Drosophila melanogaster: one gene and its partners. The protein of the gene in region 2 purifies or fractionates together with the protein of the main gene of each other region. This does not show direct contact. Each region holds a gene or a part of one and is shown on either strand. Other genes may lie near its edges.

What was found.
Region 1: the proteins of loqs (region 2) and AGO1 purify together in Drosophila melanogaster (affinity purification with western blotting; 4 studies listed by BioGRID, with this or other methods). This does not show direct contact.
Region 3: the proteins of loqs (region 2) and r2d2 purify together in Drosophila melanogaster (affinity purification with western blotting, with the first as the bait; one study listed by BioGRID). This does not show direct contact.

Annotation. Positions count from the first base shown.
Region 1 is NT_033778.4:13,955,035-13,959,968, forward strand, and holds the start of AGO1 (Argonaute-1), read right to left. Parts: upstream 3,056-4,934; 5' UTR 2,928-3,055; intron 2,317-2,927; 5' UTR 2,139-2,316; intron 647-2,138; exon of another isoform or gene 566-646; coding exon of another isoform or gene 383-565; exon of another isoform or gene 375-382; coding exon of another isoform or gene 181-374; intron 11-180; coding exon of another isoform or gene 1-10. Other genes in the region: mRpL53 (mitochondrial ribosomal protein L53), read left to right, coding at 1-10, 181-374; CG33155 (uncharacterized protein), read left to right, coding at 383-565; Rpn13 (regulatory particle non-ATPase 13), read right to left, coding at 3,611-4,364, 4,534-4,934.
Region 2 is NT_033779.5:13,381,000-13,386,215, reverse strand, and holds loqs (loquacious), read right to left. Parts: upstream 3,565-5,216; 5' UTR 3,429-3,564; intron 3,321-3,428; 5' UTR 3,277-3,320; coding exon 2,552-3,276; intron 2,480-2,551; coding exon 2,194-2,479; coding exon of another isoform or gene 2,125-2,193; exon of another isoform or gene 2,051-2,124; intron 1,690-2,050; coding exon of another isoform or gene 1,560-1,689; coding exon 1,422-1,559; intron 1,395-1,421; exon of another isoform or gene 1,233-1,394; coding exon 984-1,232; 3' UTR 545-983; downstream 1-544. Other genes in the region: Ing5 (inhibitor of growth family member 5), read left to right, coding at 1-117, 180-281; beta'COP (coat protein (coatomer) beta'), read right to left, coding at 4,035-5,216.
Region 3 is NT_033779.5:7,798,358-7,802,653, forward strand, and holds r2d2 (r2d2), read left to right. Parts: upstream 1-1,789; 5' UTR 1,790-1,895; exon of another isoform or gene 1,896-1,988; 5' UTR 1,989-2,145; coding exon 2,146-2,290; intron 2,291-2,363; coding exon 2,364-3,154; 3' UTR 3,155-3,741; downstream 3,742-4,296. Other genes in the region: Herp (Homocysteine-induced endoplasmic reticulum protein), read right to left, coding at 1-266, 952-1,155; Cdc14 (cell division cycle 14), read right to left, coding at 4,130-4,296.

The DNA.
Region 1 (4,934 bases), on a different chromosome or scaffold from region 2:
TCAGCGCAAGGTAAGAATACCTAAACTGGGACAGCTGAAATATCTAACTAAAAGGAACCAAAATACATATGAAATATGTATTGAAAAATTGGTTTCCTTTTAGCGTGGGCAACTAAGTTAACCCTTTTGAAACTGCAACATTCAAAGAGCAAACACTTATTGATATTATATCATTCACAGAACAAGCCCAAGTCAAGGAGATCCGCTTCAACAGCGATAACCTAAACACACTAGAGCTGCTGCAGCTGTGCAACAAGCACGTGTCCAGCTTGGCACCGCGCGAGGAGATCACCAACAAGGTCCTGACCAAGGCGGAGAAACAGAAACTAGCAGGAGGCGCCGGCGGCGGAAAGAAGGCAACCAAGAAGAAGTAACCATCAGGATGGTGAGGAAGCACAAAGGAACACTGGCGGTGATCGAGAAGATCTACCAGGATATACCCGCATTCTCCGACATCTTCACCGAGGAGAGCTTCTACATGTTCGCCTTCTGTTTCGTGTGCGCCACCATTCTGGTGGCCTTCATTCTCTCCCGGTTCATCACCATCAAGCCCGTCGATTTCTAAGCCAATTGTATTGTTCAATTCCGCACACGTACTTTTCAAAATATATATACGCTCTAACATGTAACAAACACTCCGCACTGTATTGTCTTTTTGGCCCGACTGTGCAAAAGGGCAGCGCTCGATTCGATTCGGTCAGCCTGTCGTTTGTTTCATTTTTTTTTCGCCATTCGAAACCAGTTTTTCGGTCCCTGGCAAACCGGAAAATCATCTGCTCCTGCTGCTGCTGCAGCGGCTGCTGTTTGCTGCGCTTGCTGATGTCAGCGGATCGGAGAGCCGCCTGCCGTCCCAAAGCTTATAATCACAATGGGGCGGGAGGAGCCAATGGTAATTGGACCGCAGGAAGTCGACCAAATGGGCCATGCAAAGTGGACGGTGGACGTGGCTGGGGTGGACCACTACAGACTTGTTCATGAATTGTGGCATTAATTTGTTACTGCTCCAAGTGAATGATCATCTGCATTCTTGTAATGACAACAAGGATGCAACAGGCAGTGGAGAAAGCTTCTCTGTTGCCAAGACAGCTGTTGAGATGAATTGAAGTCTTATTCTAATGGGGGAGCAAGGAAGAAAGTGCACTGTGCAGTTCAAGCTTTGAGCTAAAGTTTTGAAATGGCGCGCTCTAAATGTGTGAATATGTACGTATTTGCGACGAAATCGATGGCTGCAACTGGCAACAATCTGTTGGAGTGTGGCAGCTGCAAAAATGGTTGGTGAAAGTTGCCCCAAAAAGCTGCGGCACCCTGTGATTAATAGAATTCTGTTCAGAGTGCCCCCAAGTTCAATGTCAGGCTGCAAGCTTTCTCCCCGCCTGTTCGCCAGCCGTTTTGAAGGAGTCACGTCGTAAAAACTTTCACCACCCACTTTTAAATTTTGAAGTTGCGAACGAGGTATTATAGCTTCGATCATAAGATTGCAAATTGGAGCTTGCGCATTAATAACATAGCAAATTTAAGTTTTTGAAACCGATAAGTTTTTTATACTTATAAAACCTTTTTTTAATATGTCGCTAGAAACGTTAAAAAGCTTTGTTTAATTATAGCATAAGTCCTTACAAATTGGTTTTAAATTACTGGTTTTTGTTATAAGTTAGTAACTCATATAAATTTTAACTCCCCAATGTTTTGATAAGATTTTAATCGGTTTAGGATTGGATCATATAATCCTATCGCAATAACTGTATAAAAGGGTATTATTAGTTTGTTAAAAGTTCAAGAGCATGTAAACCTGTCGACACGAACTTCTTCGTCGATTCGTGACGTAATTCGCGAGGGACGTGGATGGCGGGGATATTAACGAACGAAAGTTCTATTGGAAGCTAAGGATGTGACCTTTCTACCAAAACATAAACACTGTCTGTACGGTCGTCCCTCTCGCACCCCCGCGCTCACACGCTTGGCGCTCTTGAAAATTTCCCAAAGCATATGCTCAGGCGCCATTAGTGTTTTGGTTTCCTGTATTTTTGTTTTTTTTTTTTTTTTATTTTGGGGCACTTCCATTTTACTTGCAGCTCCTGCAGCTGTTCTGGAAGCCTCCATTTGCCGGCAAATTGAAAGATTCATAATTTTGTACTTACCTTATCGCAAAATTGCAGCTGACTTTGGTGTGTGTGTGCGCTTTTATCAGCTTTATCAGCGGCAAATCAATCGTTTTTTTTGGTGAATTCCGTTTAATGGAGGGGAACTCATTAAGGAGTTGAGTGGGGTTTGCGTCTCGACTGGATTTAAACCGTTGCGGACGTTACTTTTCCAGCGCTAATTGGAAGAAACGAGAAAGATAAGTGCAGGAAATGGAAATGGAATTGGTTAAAACGCAGTTTGTGCGGCTGCTGTTGTTGTTAGTGTTGCCAGATCGTTGCGCCGGAGATATGCATGAAATTGCGAGTCCGGGGAGCTTTTTGTTTACTTTGCTATTTGACAACACACACTCTTAAGCAGCTCCTATTTTATTTAGTTTTATTTTTTGCAAGCTTCCAGGCCTGTTTAACAGCGCGCGTGTGTGTGCGTGTGAGTCAAAGGTTGTCGGTGTGCGTTAGGCACTCGACTCTCTCTCTCTCTGTCTCACTGCCCTCTCTCTTCGCGCTTTCTGTGTTTGCTTTGATTTTTGTTTTTGCCGCGGCTTTTAACTTTTTTATGACAACTACTTTGGAGGGAAAAGCTTTCCCCACAGCTCCGCGAAGCAGTCATGCAAAAAAAAAACATACAGGCTGCCACTAGACACACACACCTTCTCACGTCCGCCAAAAGCACCAACACACAAACACACACAGGCACAGAGATTGCTGCAAAATGAAAGCACCAACAACAACAGATACAAAAACATCCAGCCCGCAACGCAAAAATTGGCGAAAAAATATGGCAATTACTGCAGATCTGGATATATCCGGGTTTGATTCGCCTGGCGGAGATCGCTTGAGATCGTTATGTATGAGAATTGAGAGTCAGCTTCGGAAAATTGCGAACGCGCGAGTTTTGCACAAACACAACTTATTTGCTGGCCGTTTTGGAATTGAATAAAATAAATATTGTTGCGTGTGCCTGTGTGTGTATATATCTGTGTGAGACGGCTCTCGCTGAGAGAGCGCGCAATTCGCGCCAGAAAGGGACGACCAGTGTGTTGCGATGAGAGAGCGGGGCAGCGAGCTTTTGTTAGGGGGACACCAACAAAATGACCTTGTCGGGATTAATATTACCGTTACTTCCATATATCCCCCCATTATTAACTTCAAAATTTAAAATAAATTGTACACGTTAGACTTTGTTTTTTTAAATTAAATTAGGTAAGCCAAAAACCCAAGTATAATGAGTATAATGATGCATTCTGAAAAGAGCTGGACGAGTACTTACCAAAACGCGTATCCTTTTATTAAAGTAGTAATATTTTAAATATAAATTAATAAGCCGTTTTGATGTATATCAAACACACAATTAGATAGATAACTACCGATTAACTCCCATTTGAATTTATTTAGCATCCAAAAATCACTCAGCACATGAAAAAATTTGCTTTCGGATTCCATATCAATGACTACCAAGCCGCACACGTAAGCTACTTTTGCTTCTCCTCCTGTTTTTCGGTAGCGGGATCTGTGTTCTCATCGCGGGCCACTGAAGTTGGGGTTTCGGGATCGCTGGCCTTCTTCTCGCTGGCGGAGGGTTTGCCACCCATGGTGGCACCGGGGGGCAGACTCTTCTCCAGAGCACGCACAAAATCCTCTAGATTGCCAGAGAAGGCGGCGGCCACTGCTTCGTTGGACAACTCGAATTGCTTGATCACAGGTCCCAGCTGGGCCGATTGCAGGGCACTGGAGAACTGGGCCAGAGCCTGCTGGAACTGCGGGGAGGTGATATTGTCCTTGATCTGCTGCTTGCGATCATCGTCCACATCCTCCGACTCGGGCAGGTGCACGATCAGCGTCTTGACATGCTCCGGATCGGCAATTATCTGATTGATGGCATCGGCGCCGGGTAGGGCCGTCGATAGGTCAATATTCAGGGATCGTCCTGCGCCATGTTCGGGGGAGAGATTGGATAAGTAGGCTTGGAATGGATTGGCATAGGCTCCGGTCGATTTTGACGCCGTTGTGGTCGATGTGGTTGAGTTCTTACCGGGGGCATCCGCATCAACGGAGGAGCCGGCACCTTCGCCGACCTGCGAGTTCACATTGCTGCTGCTGCGGCTGCTGCCCGATTTCGATGGAGCGCTCGGAGTGCGCGGCACACTGACGTTTTCGGGCGTCTGCAAGGCCGATGCCCCACCGCCACCCGATGAGGAGGTGTTGCGCGACGAGGGCGTCCGGGAGCTGCGGAGAATATAGAAAGGAAAATATTGAAAAAGGGGGTGAACTCAAGTTCTGGCTTCATTCCTTCGATTACATGCTTATAAACAATAAAAACGATACCCTGTAAGTTAAGAAGCTATCTACTTGACTAGTTCTTGGACACTATGGCTGCAAGGGTTTAAATGCTCACTTCATTTGGCCCAGCAGCGAGCTGAGACCACCCATCTGGCCAACGCCGCCGAAGAGCTGCATCAGCTGCTGCTGCGACATGTTGTTGAGCATGTACTGGAGGTCGCCGTCGTTGCTGCCGCCGCCGCCGCGCTGGTGGGCGGATGGAGGGTTGTTCAGCAGCTCGTTGATGCGGCGGCACTGCTCGTCGTCCTTGTCCGTCTTGGGCTCCTGCATCCAGAAGAACATGCGGCGTGTCGATGACTTGAACTTAAGCACATAGACACGGCCCGTCTTGCACTGATCGACGCGCTTGTACTCGAAGTCATCGGGGAAGACGATGAGATCGTCCTCCACCTTGCCGGAGGTGCGATCCTTCCAGCAGAAGTGCATCAGGCCATCGTCACTCTGGGTCATGTAGAC
Region 2 (5,216 bases):
ACGGCCGCCACTCATCCCAGCGACGTTATGGACATGCCCGTCGATCCCAATGAGCCCACATATTGCCTATGCCACCAGGTGTCCTATGGAGAGATGATTGGCTGCGACAATCCCGACGTGAGTATTCGATTTTGATGTACTCTGTGGTCAGTTCTAGATCTTTCACTCTACCATTTTAGTGTCCCATCGAGTGGTTTCACTTCGCTTGTGTTGGCCTCACCACAAAGCCAAAGGGCAAGTGGTTCTGTCCCAAGTGTACGCAGGACAGAAAGAAGAAATAGATGCAATCCTTTATGATTACTTAGAATACTACTTTAGATTAAGCACAAAATTACCTATTTAAATAAAGCCACGGCTACTATAACTTCAGTATTATATTTGTCAATTTATTTCCTAACTAATTTGTAGTTAAATAATTCCATATCATAAAAGATGTTTTCACAGAATATTTCTAAAGTTGGATTGATTAATTTCAATTCATCAATGCCCTTTAATTCGGAGTTTACAAAGTTTTTCAGCCCAAGGAAAAGAAAACTGCAAAAGTAGCGATTACCAAATACCGATTATATTCATAAGCCTTTTTCCTTCGCAAACTAGCACGTAGTCTACCTTAAACCTAGTTTTATCTGCCGTTTTACGTTTTTCAGAATTTGAAAGCGACTAGAAGATTCCAATATCGATTACACGCTTGTCTGTATTTGCAAGCGTACATACATTCATCGGTAAGTGTAGTACATATATGAACATTTACATATGCAGTTAACAAATACAACTGCCTAATCAAAGGAATCGGTGGAAAAGAAACAAAATATATATATATATATATGTAACATCGCCACTGCATTGAGCCAAAAAGTGGAAAGAAAAGCAATTAGACTGGTGCATTAGTTATCCCGTATCCACTCGGTAATCGCTCTCATCAAATACTCGTGATCGTGGTCGTGGTGTGCGTTCAGATTTTGCTATTCAGTTGGCTGCACCCCCTACTTCTTGGTCATGATCTTCAAGTACTCGAGGGCATTCTGGGCGGCATGCCGCTGGGCATCGGCAGCTGTTGGTCCGCTGCCGTGGCAAACGCCAACGGGCAGCGTGGACAGTTGAACCAGGCACTGGAACTGGCCAGAGAAGGTCTTCTCCTCTATGTCCACATAGGTCACCTCGAACTGGTTCTCCGTGGCGATTTCGCCCAGCAGCTTGATGTAATCAATCTTGTTGTTCTTCAAGCAAGTCTTCTGAAAAAAATACAAATGGAGTCGAATTAGCAGAGTCAAATTAAACTTTGAACTTTCAAGCAAGAACACTATTATTATAAGGATTGTGAGGGGTTAAGGCAAATATGTACTTTCGAAAGCAGGTTTTGAATGTTGGAAATATGTTTGTGATCGTTTTTGAATAAAAAGCGTTATTGGATTGAAATTTACCTGTAACTTAAGCAGTTTTTTGCCCGTTGCATTTTTTAGGGTCTTATGGAACTGGGATACTTTGTTACTGTGCTGCGTGGTCAGTGTCGGCACAGAGATATCTTTCAATTCACCATAATAATTTTCACTACTGCGGGGCTGTAAATAAGAGCGCAAAGTTTTTGGTTTCTTTTCTCCATTGCATTTCGCACACATTTGAAATCACACACGCCAATGGTGAGTTGAAACATATCACTTTTGTGTGGAAAAGGTGCTTTACAGATTCGTTCTTTAAAACAATCACCATGCCAAGGAACAATATGAAAAATGAAAAATGAAATAAGCCAATATAAACCATAAATAAAACCAGAAATATAAATAAGGTGTAAGCATTATGTTAATTATATGTATAATTATGTCAAAAACATTAGTTATAAAAACAAGGACAATAAAAAATATCAGATAGCACACTATAAAAGGGATGCTATAGTACTAAAACTCTAGCTAGATACATAATTTAAAAGATTATAGGGATATTTACAACTGAGGATTACTCTAAACGTTCTACATTACATTTGAGAAGGGATAGAGGACAAACGTATTAAATAATATATAACATTTATGACATATATTTGATAAAATCAATTTTTAAAATTTTATAAACTAAAGCATGGGACTGCATTCAAAATAATTGCACTAAAAATATTAGAAAATTGCTTGTGGGTTAGATCTTGATGAACTCAAAATCTTTAGAGACTTGCTCGTAACGATCGATGTCTTGAATGATACTCACTTCGCCCTCCAACTCGCCGCAGATGCTGTCGCTGATTTTGCCCGAATCGATGGGAGTCTCCTGCAGACGCATCCACATGCGGTGGGCGGCCAAGCGCTTGGCTATCTTCTTGCTTTTGCCCTTGCCCATCTCGCGGTAGTTGAGTATCGAGCAGGCGATCGTAAAGAGCCGCTCGTGGGGAAGACCCACTTCCGTTTCCGTTTCGTACGACGGCGGTGGCCATCGCCGTTGCATGCACATTTCCTGCAACCAGCCAATCGGATTACCAACGGTCTTGTCGCTGGCACTGCAAGGACATAATACAATAAATTGGATATCTTAGAATCATATCTTAGACATCAATAGAATAAAAACTCACTCTCCTCCGCCTGTGGCATTGGCATTGCCGTCTCCTCCGCTTCCGGCGACCGTGAGCCCAGTCACCGACGGACCAGCGGAGCTGCTAGGCGATTCCGGCAGCTGCGCGCCGATCAGCTTGTCGATGAGCGCACGGGCCGCCGCATGCTTGGCCTCCTTCTTCGATCGTCCTGCCCCCATGGCCGTGAAGGGCGTATCCTTGTCTTTAAAGGACACGCGAAACCGGAAGGTCGGCTCATGTATGGCGCCCTCGATCTGGACAAGTTCATAGCCGGGAGTAATTCCTCGTCGGCTTAGCAGCTCTTGCAGAATGCTGACGGGCGTCTTCATGGCCAGTCCATTGGCGTCCGTTTCGCTGACGAACTTTAAGGCCTCGTCGCTGGGCAATATTACGCCCATAAGGCCGACTCCACCTTGTAAGCCCGATCCGCCCGCCAAGGCAGGATCACCAACATCTGACAGCTGCAGCTGACCTGGCTGAGACAGCTGCGCAACCTGGGCGGATATCTTCTCCTTCTTGAGCTTCACATGGCGCTGCCCCAGCGGAGCACCCTTCACCGGACTACCACTGACGGCATTTCCATTGCCCAGGCCGACAAGGTTATTATAGTGCCGCCGTGGAGCAAATCCCGTCTGGACAGGATTGGGGGACGCCTGCTGCGGCTGGATGTGGAGGTTCTGTAGCTGCTGCGGCAAGCTGGAGCCGTGGAAATTCTCCTGGTCCATGGTGTTCTTGTTTTGCACGGTTTTCGGGAGGATTCGGTGTGTATCTGTTTAAAATTTCGGGGTAATTGTTGTTTGAAAAATCGATACATCACCGACGAATAGCGGGCGAAAAGTCCAGTTGACACTCTCGCCGAAATTCGGGGAGTACTCACGTTTGAATCGCGGTTTTAACTGTTTTTTATTTAATAATAATTTATTAATGGTTAGTTAATAATTCATTCTTAAATAAAAAATACAGCAAAATCCAGACGCACACACGAATTGTATGTATTTTACTGATATTTGTGGTTGCCAGACTTTTTTTGGATTGCCTACTTATTACACCCCCTACTCGTAGAGTAAATATGTTGAAATAAATGTATGTAACAGGTACAGAACATTTTTTTGTACAAATATATAATAAAATAGACCATGAATACTAATTTAACTCAAAAAAAAAAAAGAACAAAAATAATTTTTAATTTCTCCTGGCATGATCGTAAGTTTGTTTAAAAGTTTTATCGATAAGATATCAGAATGTAATCGAAATAGTTGAAGTGAGCGCCATATTTGAAATTGTTGTATAAGTATTTATTGCAGTGTTTGCTCCATTACTGTTGTACATATTATTAATAGATATATATTTAAACAACATTCAATCAAATCAAATGTGAATGCATGCGCGGAATTCTGTGGCTCGAAATGCACGAAATGTGGGACTCCCGTAGCAGTAAACGATAGTTTAAATGGTATTCTAGATCTGGCTGTGATCTTCCGTCCTAATCGTCGCTTAGAAAATCGTCATCGAGGTTCACATCTGTCGTATCAATGTTATCATCCAACGTAATTCCATCTATTTCCAAGTCCAGGTCGTCGTCGTCATCCGCAGCGGATGTAGGCTCGGCCACCTGGCTGCTAGAAACAACAGCTTGAGCGGGAACGTAAGCTGGCTTCACCTTCTCCTCCAAATGCTGGCCGGCGGCACCCTGCTCGGCGGCAAATAGTTCTTGCAGAGGATGACGTTCGCTATTCAGTGGTAGATTCGCAGCGAGGCGTGCCGGCGCCTTACGAGCTCGCTCCTCCTGCAAATGCTGCTCCACCCGCAGCGCATCGCCCAGGCCAGGGAAGAGATTTGTATACTGTGCCGGATCGGCCAGCGACTGTCCCGCCTTTTCGTTGACCTTTCCAAGCTTCTCCCGCCAAAGCTCTACGATCCTTGACATCTGGCTGGGCAGGTAGGTGCGGGCAAAGAACGCTGCCTCTGGCAACCGATTTGTCTCAATGAGAATCTCCAAGCAGCGTTCCACGTCTGAACGAAGGAACGCCGAGAGGAAAGCTAGATTGTGATGTCCCTGGGCCGAGCCAGCCGCACCCACCACCTCGAGCAGCTGGGCATCGCCGGAAGCTGTTGAGAGCAGCAATAGACCGCTTAAGTCGTTTGCCTTCTGCATGCACTCTTTAACCAGAGACATGTTGTTCTTGCTAGACGCCACATCTGCCAGCTGTGACCACTTCTGGGAGTTCTCCGACTCACGGGCCAGCTTTAAGGCGATTTCCAAATCTCCGATCTGTAAGGCCAAGTCAAACTTATGGTCGGCATCGGTAGAGACTTGCAGGGCCTGCGACTTAAAGCCCTGTTTCTCCAGAAAATGTGCCACCCTAGTGCGGTGCTCCTTGGGAATGGTCGGTAGCACAACGTCTGCGCGCTCAAAGTCTCTTCGCATAACCGCCGTCTGGTACTCCAGCACGGACAGCTGCAGACAGAAACTGATCACGTTCAACTCCTTATCGCCGAGGTAAATACGATTGTCCTTGGGCACGTAGCCCAGCAGATACATTGTGCGGTCTAAGTGGGATACTGTCACAATCTCGCCGCCCACGTAGTAGTTGATGCGGTTCACCGAGTTGGTATAGATGAAGCAGTCTCCCACCCAAAGTCCTGTTTTGACGCACTCCGAAAC
Region 3 (4,296 bases), 5.6 Mb from region 2:
CCCTGCTGTGCCTGCTGCTGATGTGGAGCATGACGTTGTCGCAGCTCATTTGCATTCCCAGTGACCTCGGGCCCAGCTGGAACCGCATCCTTCTGCGGAACAGTGGGGGCTTTGGCAGCCGGCCTTATCACTTGCTTGCTGGCACACACCAAGTGAAATATGTGGTGCTGTTGGTAGACATCCTTGTAGCTGCGTATCACCTCAGATATCTTTTGGGAGTCATCTAATAGCTTGCCCGAGTAAATAAGTTTCTGGTCCTGGATTAACTACAGAAAAAATGGAAAGAAATAGTTATAGTGGTCAAAACATAAAACATAAAATTTCACATTATAGGTATTCAGAGGGAACCTAGAGATAACTCATTGTTGCTTTTACCTCCGCGCGAAATTTATACTATCAAACAGTGCCTAAATCTATTTATTTGCACACTCCAAGAGATAACAACTTGTACTTGTCAGTTGACTTTATGGAAATGATACTTGAAACTAAATAAATTTTTATAAATTCTACTTGATTTGCTCTGGAAATAAAGAGTGCTAATGTATTTTTTCTGCCTGCAATGATCTGAATCTTTAGTATATATCAGTGATATTGATATGTGGGATGTACATATGTACATAAAAAACTTGGCACATGAGTGGAGCGTGAATATGTCCAAAAATCTTATCACTTTCTAACCGTAACCAAATTAATCCCAGTTCCCAGTTCCGACCCATCGATTTGGCATAGACCAAGTGCATGACGCAAGTGCATGACGGCGACTATAATTTAGAGGAGCAATCCACTGACGTGTACTTGCGACTAAGACGCAAATAGCTTTGGGAACCGACACACCTATGAATCCTAAACGAAGATGATAAACAATAACAAACTTCTCGATAAGATAATGGGGCTCCTGGCCAGTTTTCTACCTATACGATAACAAGGGGGGGAACCAACTCGATAACCCACCGGTTTGCCAGGATAGATAAGAGATAGGTGCTTCTTCAGCCTCTGGACCGTCCAGCAGAGATCGGAGTCCACATTGAGATCCTCATACTGCTGGTTGGACGACTTGATGAGCAGCCGGACACTGGTTTCCGGATTCTTTTGACGGGTGGCGGCATCGCAGCCCGCGGCTGTTGCGGCTGCGGGTGGGGCGGCGTTCTCCTCCATCTGGCTGACCCCGCGAATCGGAGAACTTTCTATTGCTAATTAATGACCGCGATACGAAGATCGGTGATGGGTTTTTGCTGCGCTAGCGGGGACACTTTTTACGCAGCCACTGTTTCTCACTTCCTACTCCGCTCTGCTCTCTGCGTATTTTCGAGAAATAGTTTATTCTGAATTTGACATTTAATTTGGTATTATGCTATTGTTTGGTTTTCAACAGCTGTTCGTTCTGTGGTGTTTTGCTCGCAGCACAGAGTTATTGATTATGAAACGCAGTAAACGTTCCGCAGTTGATCAAAAACTACTCTTCATTTGGTTCTGACCTGTGGCAAGTGATGAGCGTCGGTCACAGGGCTGCCGCGAGTAGCAGGTATTTTTAAGTCGCAGGTTGCACAAACAGCTGAGAATTGATTTTCCAAAGTGTGTGGGATGTGGCAATTTAAGTACACAGTTGGAAAATATTAAAGTCGTTGCTCAAACACTTGGTTTTAGTGTTTTTAGAATTTATTCCTTTGAAAAATATACGGTATCTAGTTATTTGCAGTTGTGGATTTTGCTCATCACTGACAGCAACACTTGTTAATGCCATATACTACGCAACAGGGTTGCCTTGACTTACGGGGATGCCAACTCGCGTCATCGTGACGTGTCGATTATGTATAACACTTCAGACGTTGAACTTTGAATGAAAACACCGAATAGCATATAAAATGCATTTGCTCCTTAGTAAAAAAGTTAAGAAGGTTTGCCGCTGTTTTCGTATTCGAATTACGAATTCAATACTATTTCGTGAAAATATTTTTTTGACAAAGCGGCATAAAATAATTCATTTACAGATGTCTTCGTCAAGATTTCCTATTCTATCGTTGCCGCTTCGTGATTCGCGTGCCATCTCTAATAACATTGCAGTGCTTTAGATATTTTATAAATTATATATATGGTTATATTCTGTTGAATGTTAGCACGTCCGACGTGCCTTTTCCCCTTGAACTCATGGATAACAAGTCAGCCGTATCTGCTCTACAGGAGTTTTGTGCCCGGACACAGATTAATCTACCAACATACAGTTTTATTCCCGGCGAAGACGGAGGGTACGTCTGTAAAGTTGAACTATTGGAGATAGAGGCCCTTGGAAATGGTAAATTTAAATTACAAATCTCAACCACTATTTATATTCGTATCTAAACCGCCACATATTTATCCAATTCTAGGGCGTTCGAAGCGTGATGCCAAACACCTGGCTGCCAGCAATATCTTGCGTAAAATCCAACTGCTGCCCGGCATACACGGCTTGATGAAGGATTCGACTGTGGGTGATCTGGATGAGGAACTGACTAACCTCAACCGGGACATGGTGAAGGAGCTGCGTGACTACTGCGTCCGCCGCGAGATGCCACTGCCCTGCATTGAGGTAGTGCAGCAAAGCGGCACCCCGAGCGCCCCGGAATTCGTGGCCTGTTGCTCCGTGGCCTCCATAGTACGCTACGGAAAGTCGGACAAAAAGAAGGATGCCCGTCAGCGAGCGGCCATTGAAATGCTGGCCTTAATCTCCAGCAATTCGGACAATTTGCGTCCGGATCAAATGCAAGTAGCGAGCACAAGCAAATTGAAAGTTGTTGATATGGAAGAATCTATGGAGGAATTGGAGGCATTGCGCAGAAAGAAATTTACCACCTACTGGGAGTTGAAGGAAGCCGGGAGCGTAGACCATACAGGCATGCGGCTCTGCGACCGACACAACTACTTCAAGAACTTCTATCCTACCCTGAAAAAGGAGGCCATTGAGGCCATCAATTCAGATGAATACGAGAGCTCCAAGGATAAGGCTATGGACGTAATGAGCTCTTTAAAGATAACACCCAAAATCAGTGAAGTGGAATCTTCATCGTTGGTTCCCTTGCTTAGCGTCGAGCTTAATTGTGCATTCGACGTGGTCCTTATGGCAAAGGAGACCGATATCTACGACCATATAATAGACTATTTTCGCACCATGTTGATTTAATGCGTATAACATTTATTCAACTATTCTAGCTTAAAACTAAGTAAACTCGTTTTATTTACACTCTAGAATGCACATATTTCATTTAATCTTACGATTAATACAATCTCCACCAATTTGTAGGTGGGAAACATAAAAAAATTATTTTCAAGGTCTTTTAGTAAACATCTATGTTAACTTTGTACACGATTGAGATAGGTGTAAAAAATCCAAGGAAATAAGTAAGGGGAGTGGGTACAACAACTTTTACTTTCGAGAAGGTATAACATAATGATATTATTAATTACTTTTCGATGCCAATACCAATGTTAATTCTATTAAAATGTAAAGTATTTATACGGTCCGAACTTATTGTTTGCAACAACTGATTATAAAATATTTGAAGCAATTTACATAAATATGTATTGCACAGTGAAATTAAAAATCTGAACATTTGCCTTTAAAAGGAATGCTAGTAATCAAAGACTTACTTGAAACAAATATTTTAAATAATTTGACGGAAAAAAATGGTAAAAATGCTGCATTTCTTTTTTTTTTTACAAGTACAACTTTTATACGAATAAAAGGGGTTTCAGTCTAAAATAAATAAAGTGCTTCGTAGTCTTCAGCATTTTTGATTTTATTTTTACAACACAATGCTAAAATGAAAACTAAGCGTTCCTCTTAAAAACTTTCAACAATGTATTAACAATTTCAATGTCAATTGCTTGCCTTTTAATGGGTTATCTTATATTAGTACAATATGTTAAATAACAAATCCATAACAATTTGAAATGTTTTCCTAAAAAAAAATGTAAGTGTATAAATGAGATTGTTATTGCAAATAATTTCCTAATCAATCACCAAATTTGATTGCATTGGAATATCTAAAAAATCATTGCATTCGCCACATCAATCTCATCATCTCATCGGGAAACGTTCAATTTACTAGTCAAAATAATATTTACACAACTAAAGGAAACAATATATGATTAGTGTTCAATAGCTAATCTTCTTGCGCAGCTTGAGATTGGATTGTTGATGGTCCAGAGACTGTTGTTGTTGTTGTTGCTGTCGCTCCCGATCCCGATCCTTTTCGCTGGACGCACGACTCACACCGCGTACCAGGTGCTGTTGCCACTGGCTGGAGGAGGGCGGCGCCGTGG